Linked DNA regions of Notamacropus eugenii. The protein of the gene in region 2 purifies or fractionates together with the protein of the main gene of each other region. This does not show direct contact. Links are inferred from orthologs where the notes say so. Each region holds a gene or a part of one and is shown on either strand. Other genes may lie near its edges.

The links. Proteins that work in one complex are often made in the same cells at the same time.
Region 1: the proteins of PINK1 (region 2) and HSP90AB1 purify together in Homo sapiens (affinity purification with mass spectrometry; 4 studies listed by BioGRID and IntAct, with this or other methods). This does not show direct contact. The link is inferred for Notamacropus eugenii from reciprocal best matches to the Homo sapiens genes PINK1 and HSP90AB1.

What each region holds. Positions count from the first base shown.
Region 1 is NC_092873.1:107,736,630-107,740,372, reverse strand, and holds the start of HSP90AB1 (heat shock protein HSP 90-beta), read right to left. Parts: upstream 2,702-3,743; 5' UTR 2,001-2,701; intron 449-2,000; coding exon 302-448; intron 1-301. UniProt on the Homo sapiens protein: Molecular chaperone that promotes the maturation, structural maintenance and proper regulation of specific target proteins involved for instance in cell cycle control and signal transduction. Undergoes a functional cycle linked to its ATPase activity.
Region 2 is NC_092876.1:60,646,603-60,650,345, reverse strand, and holds the start of PINK1 (serine/threonine-protein kinase PINK1, mitochondrial), read right to left. Parts: upstream 2,831-3,743; 5' UTR 2,741-2,830; coding exon 2,366-2,740; intron 1,486-2,365; exon of another isoform or gene 1,253-1,485; intron 1-1,252. UniProt on the Homo sapiens protein: Serine/threonine-protein kinase which acts as a sensor of mitochondrial damage and protects against mitochondrial dysfunction during cellular stress.

The DNA of each region.
Region 1 (3,743 bases), on a different chromosome or scaffold from region 2:
GAGAAAGAATACAACTCTATTAGCTATCCCTTTATCTTCTCTATAATTCAGAGTTTTCTAGCTTTCCACCTCTTTCTAAACACCATGAGTGTCGACTACTTGTACTACTTGTACTGTGCTCTTCAATTAGAATGATATTCACAGACTTGCTTAACCAAGACAGCTTTCTTTCAACCTATGATGCAAAAATCTCATAACCCCCTCTGTGGGGAGGAGTGACAACAGAAAACCTGATTAAGACCACCACCCTCCTCCTATTCCCTCCCCAGGTTACCATATTATCATCAATAGTAACACTTACATCAGAGGCATTGGAAATAATCTCTCGAAGAAAGATTTCCTTATTAGAATAAAAGGTGTTGATAATCAAGGACATAAGCTGGGCAATCTCTGCCTGGAAGGCAAAGGTCTCCACCTCCTCCTCTCCATGCTGTACTTCCTCAGGCATCTTTAAACATAAAAGGGTACAGTTAATCTAGAGTCTAATATCTGACCTCCCCCACAAGAATTATCTGAGAAAAACCAGTGACTCCTACCCAGATGCCAGGTTCAGTTAACTCAACAATTAAGCAGTCAAAAAACAACCCAAACACCAGACTTGGTTGTTTTGAGTCAGTTCAAGGACCCAGAGATGAAAAGCAAATGCCCTGTAGACTTTGAAATATTGGAGAAACGCTTCTATACTCTCCAGAAATCACTGAAGTCCAGTAACTTTTGACATCTGGGGGTAGAAACGACCTTTAAAGATTTCATTATTGCTTTTTAACAGCCTAGAATGTCTACTGCTGATGTTTTGGGGAAAAAAGCCCCCAGCTGAGATTCCCCAGAAAGAGAAATCCAATGGAAGTCTCTCCAACTCGGTTTAAAAAGGCACGCTAATTAATTAATAGGCTTCCCCGCCATTAAACATCCTCAATTCACACTACAATGGAAGCCCTTCAGCACCACTCCACCAGAGGCACCCGCCAAGCAGTGAAGCCCGCATCAGCATCCCCGGAGCCTAGCGCAGCGCTCGGGGCGGGGCCTGCCTGCCTCGTGCCGAGTAACACTAGGTAACAAATGGACGGGCAGCGGCCCCCGCATGGGGGAGGGGGAGGCCCACCAGGATAACGGCCAGGTCTAGCGCAAGGGATGACAAAGGATGCGGACAAAGAGCCAGTGTCCGCGCCTGCAACCCCGCTGAGTGAAACACGGCACCGCGGGGAGGGAGGAGTTCCCGCCTGGGGCCGATCCTCTAGGTCGGGAGGAGGAGACACCCCACCGCCTAAGGGGCACGATGTCCCCGCCATCCCCGCTTGGGGGCTCCGGCGCCATCCCAGCATCCGGGCACCTGGGCGGGGCGCGCGGCTCCAGAAGCTTCCAGAAGAATCTGGGCCCCAACGCGAAGGGAGGGGGGAGGGAGTCCCGGGAATGTTCCAGAACCTGCTCCTCCCTTCTCGAACCACCTCCCCCGCGGCCCCGCGGGCCCCCCCCCCAACGCGCTACTGAAAAATGCGGCCATGATGGCCAGGGAAAGTGGAGCACGGAAAGATACCTAGAGGACCGAGACAGTGATGCAACCGAAAAGCAAAGATGAAACCTGGCGAAGGACTCGCCCCCCCACCCCGGTGCTGAGTCACCCCAGCCTGCTCCCCCACACGCGCGCCGAATGCCCCTCTCGCTCCCCGTAGCCGCCGGAAGTGGAGGTGCGAGCCCAACATGGCAGCGTCCCGTGGGGACCGGCGCGGCCACCACGTGCTAACCCTAACCCCCCGGGAACGCTGCTGCCGACCAACCGGCCCCCGCGCGGCTGTCACTCCCTGCCCGAACCCTCCCTGAGGCTAGGAAGAAGAAAAGAGGCTGGGGGAGGGGAATAGCCTTACTCAGAAAAACCGAAGTCTGAACGGTCGGCGGGGATGGGGGGGGGGCATTAAAACCTTTGTGGGTAATAATATGAGAAAAAAGGCAGAGTAGAAAAGGAAGATAAGAGGTATTAGACGGGAATGTAGCGAATACGTCACCTTGAGCGATGGCAGACAAGCAGGCCGGGTCAGAGAAGGGCTGAGTCCAGCGGCTACGCACACCTCGCACCGTGAGGAGCTTGGCACAAGAGAAGCTGCCGGCCGCCCCCACCCGCCCTATATATTGGCAGCGCACCGATAGCGTCGGAGCTTCCCAGGCGAATCCCTCCGCCTTAAAGGGGCCGCCTCACAGACCGCGCACCTGCAGCCTCCGAGGGCGCCGCCGGCCTTCTCCTGCAGCTTCTCCCGGCCCCCCCTCCTTCTTTCCACATTGTACGCACATACAGATTATAGAAACGAAACTACTGGAATAGGCAGGAACCTTCTTTAGGGATCACGTTTATTTTACACATGAGGTCACTGAGGCCCAAGGTCACCCCGTTCGTACGAGTTTTGTCTGGCGGTTCGTGGTTTCCCACCCGTGAACCTGCCAGCTCCCAGAAAGCTCCCCGAGCCGTCGGCCCTGACCCTCAGCCGAGGCTTAACAAAGGTTCACCGATGGACTCACTGACGTAACCGGTGAACGGTCAGGACGGGGGCAGGGGCGGGGGCAGCCTCTCCAGCCGCACGGGGACGGAGCCAGGGGCTGGGGCGGGGCTGGGGGTCGCGAGACCCTCGCCGCGATCTGCCTTGGGGAGAGATGCTGGGACCTTGCCTGCGACAAGCGGCCACCCTCCAAGCTAGTGTCACCCTCCCCCCCACCTCGAGGAGGAGGGCTAAGCCACGAGGTAGCCTCGCTCTCCTGCCCTCGGGACCTACGTGGGGGAGAGGACAAACCGGGGTCGCGCAGAACAGCCCGGGGGCTTTTTCTGAACCGGTTTTGAGCGGCTGGGAGGGGTACACGTGGAGTGGCAGGGAGGTCAGGGCAGAGCTATGTCTCTGAAGGGTGGGGGGGCTCCCCGCAAAAGAGGTGGCCCCCACAAGGTAGGAGGGCAGTAAAGCCCAAGCTGGTTCCCCATCCCCACCCCCCCGCTCCAGCCCACGGGCAGAATGGGCTGGGGGAAGGGCGAGCTCTCCGGGACTCTTTGCCAAGGAGCTCGGCGGCGGAAGCCGAGCCTTTCTGCAGTGCGGCGGCATTTCCAGCAGTTTCCACGCCTGTCTAGTCGCATTCCCCGCCCCCTCTCCTTCCCCCCCCACTCCCGCACGCCGCCCCCCCACCTCCTCCCCTCCCTCCTCCTCCTCCCTCCCCCCCCACTGGGCCTGAGCTCTTCGTGCAGCGAGCCAAGGCGCCAATGCGGGCCTGGACCGGCCGCGGACTCATCCCCCGCATCCCCCGCATCCCCCGCATCCCCCGCATCCCTCCTGCGGCGTCCCCACTGCGCTCCATTTTCTATACCCCAGCCCCGGTCAAGTGCTTTGCCCGGCGCTCGGTCACACAGTAGGCGCATAATACATGCTTGTACCTCCCCTCCCCCTCTTCTCCCATTCCCTTTCCTGTAACCTCAATATCCAGAGTCCCATCCAGTGCCCCTCCCACGACTGGCCATCCCCACTGGAGGAACATTAGAGCAAGCCCCTCCCCGCGCCCCCCACCCCGACCCAACAACCCCCTTCTCCTCCACTACCCCTGAGGCTCCCACAGAGGGAGGGGGCCGGGGGCAGCGGGCTGAGCCGGGAGGGCTAATGGAGGGGAAGCTGCCAAGGTCCTGGGCGCCCCAGGGGCCCGGGGAAGCAGGGCGCACGTTGGGCCCAGCCCGTGTGCGGTGAGGTGCGCGGTATCTGCAGAGTCACCGCACACACGCG
Region 2 (3,743 bases):
CTCCTACTTTTCCAGGCTTTTGCTACCTTCCACCTCAATACATACTCTTGGATCCAGTGACACTGGTGTCCAGGCTCTTCCACTTTGGAGACCCTCCATCTCTCAGCTCTGGCTGTCCCCCTTGCCTGGATTGTTCTTCCTCCTCATCTCTGTCCATTGGCTTCCCTAGCTGCCTTTAAGTCCCAGCTAAAATCCCACCACCTGTAGGAAGACTTTCCAACCCCTCTTAATTTTGGTACCTTCCCTTTCATCCTATATATATCTTGCTTGAGGGCAGGGACTGTCTTTTGCCTCTTTTTTTGTATTCTGAGAGCTTAGCAGTCAGCAGGACCTTAATAAATACTGATTGATTGTCTGATCTTGGGCAAAACCATTCCCTTTCTTGGGTCCCAGTTTTCCTTTCTGTAAAATAATCAGAGGCACTGTGCAATAGTGGAAAGAATTTTGGAACTAGCAGTCAGGAGATCTGTGTTCCAAGTCTGGGGCTGCTGAAATAACCTGTTGGGCTTCAGTCTGCTCCTCTGCAAAACAAGGATGCTGGGCCAGATCAGGGGAGGGGAAGGGCCACGAGGTTGTAGGTTCCTATGTGTGAGTGTACTACATGAGTTTAATTATAGGTCTAATTACATTTGGTATCAATTACCATTTCCTTTTAAGCTCACTAGTACAGCAGGCAGCATTCCAGTAGGGAAAGTTAGACTCTACTGAGATCATGTGTGCTAGCTAAGTGGCTAAAACATAGTTTTTGCTTAAAATCTTAAGCTGGCTGTACCCAGAACAATAAGGGGCTATAGAGCCTCCAAGACCTTTCCTATCTCTGATGTTCATGAGTTAAAGATTGGGATAGAGACTCCCTCAAAAAAGTCTCAGTACTCAAGGAACATATTGGGAGCCAATGCCCCTGGGTGCCAATGCTTCCCCCGTCCCCTGCCCCAAGCCCTAACCCAACAGGCTTGGAATCAGGGGGCCTGCTTCAAATCTAGGCTCTGCCACTTACTTGCTTACATTGTACAGCTGGGCAAGTCATTCATTTAACTTGGCCCTAGCTTCCCCATCTTTTAAAAAACAAAAGGGTTGTGCTAGATGACCTATAAGGTCCTTTCTGCCTCTAGAGATGGAATCTATATCCCTTATGACTGTCAAGTCATAAACTGAGGTAACAAGGTTTGACCAAGGATCCAGGTCACCTGAATTCAAATCTAGAACTCTTTGTGCCACATTGCATTGCTTTAAAGGGTTTGAAAATGGAAGACCCTCTCATACAAACCTCTCCTTTCACAGATTAGATTGAGGGGGACCAGCATTTATGCCAGGCACTTTGGTAAGCATGTTGTTTGTTCAGCCATTTCAGTCCTGTCTTCTTTGTGACCTCATGTGGGGTTTTCTTGGTAGAGATACTGGACTGATTTGCCATTTCCTTCTCCAGCTCCAGATGAGGAAACTGAAGCAAAGAGGGTTAGATGATTCCCCCAGGGTCACAAGCTAGTAAGTATCTGAGGCTAGAGTTGAACTCTGGAAGATGCGTCTTCCTGACTCCAGGCTTGAGCTCTATCTCCTGCACCACCTGGCACTCCTAGGTGCTAAGTGCGATTATCATCTTCATTTTACATTGGAGGAAACTTAGGATGACAAATTAAGTGACTTGACTGGGGTCATACAGTTCCTAAGTGTCTGAGGTTGGATTTGAACTCAGGTCTTCCTGATTCAAGTCCCAGTGCTCTATCCATTGTATTATTTGCTCAAGGTCAGATAGGTAATAAATGGCATAATGAAATTCAAAGGAAGTTCAAAGACTCCAAATTCAGTACTCTTTCCACTGTAACACATAATCTCTCAGCTATGATGTTCTCTGTTCTAAGACCTCTTCTAGTTCTAACACTCTATGTTCTAAGGTTCCTTCTAGTCCTGACTTTCTGTCCAAGGACTGCCCAGCACTGACACTTCTATATCCTAAGGTCCTTTCCAATTGTGACTATGTTCTAGGTTCGAAGGTCCCTTTAAGCAGTAACATTCTATGTTCTAAGATCCCTCCCGGCTCTGGCACCCTGGGTTCTAAGGGCCCTCCCGGCTCTGCCAGCCTGGGTTCTAACCCTCCCAGCTCGGACCTTTATGCTTCAAGGTGATTTTAGGCGTGACATTCCGTGTCCCCAGGTTCCTTACAACTGTGACACTGCACGTGCCAGGATTCTAAGGTTCTTGGCTCCGAGGCGGACCCAGCTCCACTCAGAGCCCGCACCTCGGACAGCGGGGGCTCCTCCCCTCCCCCCTCCCCCCTCCCGCCCGAGGCTCGGCTTTGACCTTGGCCGCCTCCGGCCGCTCGGTGTCCGCGGGGCCGGTCCTGCCCGGGCCGGTCCGCGGCCCTCACCTGGATGTCCCGGCAGGCCGAGGCCGCCCGCCGCCCCTCCGCCTGCTTCTCCTCCACGAGCCCCAGCCCCAGGCCGAAGGCCAAGAAGACCGCGCGGCCGCAGGGGGGCCCGGCTCCCCGGGCCCGCAGCACCAGCTGACGCTGCAGGCGGGCGGCCAGCCCGGCCACCGACTCCCGGAAGAAGCGGTAGCGGCTGGGGAGGCCCAGGCCGGGCCCCGGAGCCGGAGCCGCCGCCTCTCGGGCCCCGAGGCCCCAGCCCAGCCCCGGCCGCTCCGCCCGCCCTAAGCCTCCCGGCGGGCCCGGCTTGGCCGAGAAGCGCAGCAGCAGCGCCCGGCCCAGCTGCAGGCCCCGGCCCAGCGCCTGCCGCAGAGCCATGGCCCCGGCCTTGACTCAGGCCCAAACGACACCGAACAGCACCGAGCCCACCGGCCGCTGGCAGGCGCACGCGTCAGTTACTGCGCAGGCGCAAAGACCGGAGGCGGGGAGAGTTCTGCCCACGAGGTGATTGTTTACAGACTCCGCGGGGCGAGGGGGTGGGGCGCAGTGCGGCGTTAGTGCGCAGGCGCGGCGCCTGGCCCGTCTGCATCCGGGGCTCTTTGGGCTGCGCGGTCCCCACGCCTTGACCACATCTGGGGCTGGCGAGCTCGTGACTTTATGCGGCCAGCCCAGACCGCTCAGGGCATAGCGCTAAGTCAGAAAGCTTTTCTGCCTTGCTCCGTCGTTTCAGCCCTTTCCGACTGTTCCTGATTTCTTCTTAAAACTCATTTTACAGATGAGGAAACTGAGGCAAACCAGGTGAAGTGACTCGCCCAGGGTCCCACAGCTGGTCAGGGTCTGAGGCGGGATTTGAACCCGGGGAGATGAGTCTAGCTGACTCCAGGCCCGGCGCTGTCCCACCTAGCAGGGTTCTAAGGGCCCTCCCAGCTCTGACACCCGGGGTTCTAGTCCTCCCAGCGCCGACACCCAGGGTTCTAAGGGCCCTCCCAGCTCTGACACCCGGGGTTCTAGTCCTCCCAGCGCCGACACCCAGGGTTCTAAGGGCCCTCCCAGCTCTGACACCCGGGGTTCTAGTCCTCCCAGCGCCGACACCCCTGGGTTCTAAGGGCCCTCCCAGCTCTGACACCCGGGGTTCTAGTCCTCCCAGCACCGACACCCCTGGGTTCTAAGGGCCCTCCCAGCTCTGACACCCGGGGTTCTAGGTCCTCCCAGCGCCGACACTCGGGGTTCTAGTCCTCCCAGCTCTGACACCCCTGGGTTCTAAGGGTCCTCCCAGCTCTGATACCCTGGGTTCTAAGGGCCCTCCCAGCTCTGACACCTGGGTTCTAAGGGCCTCCCAGCGCCGACACCCCTGGGTTCTAAGGGCCCTCCCAGCTCTGAC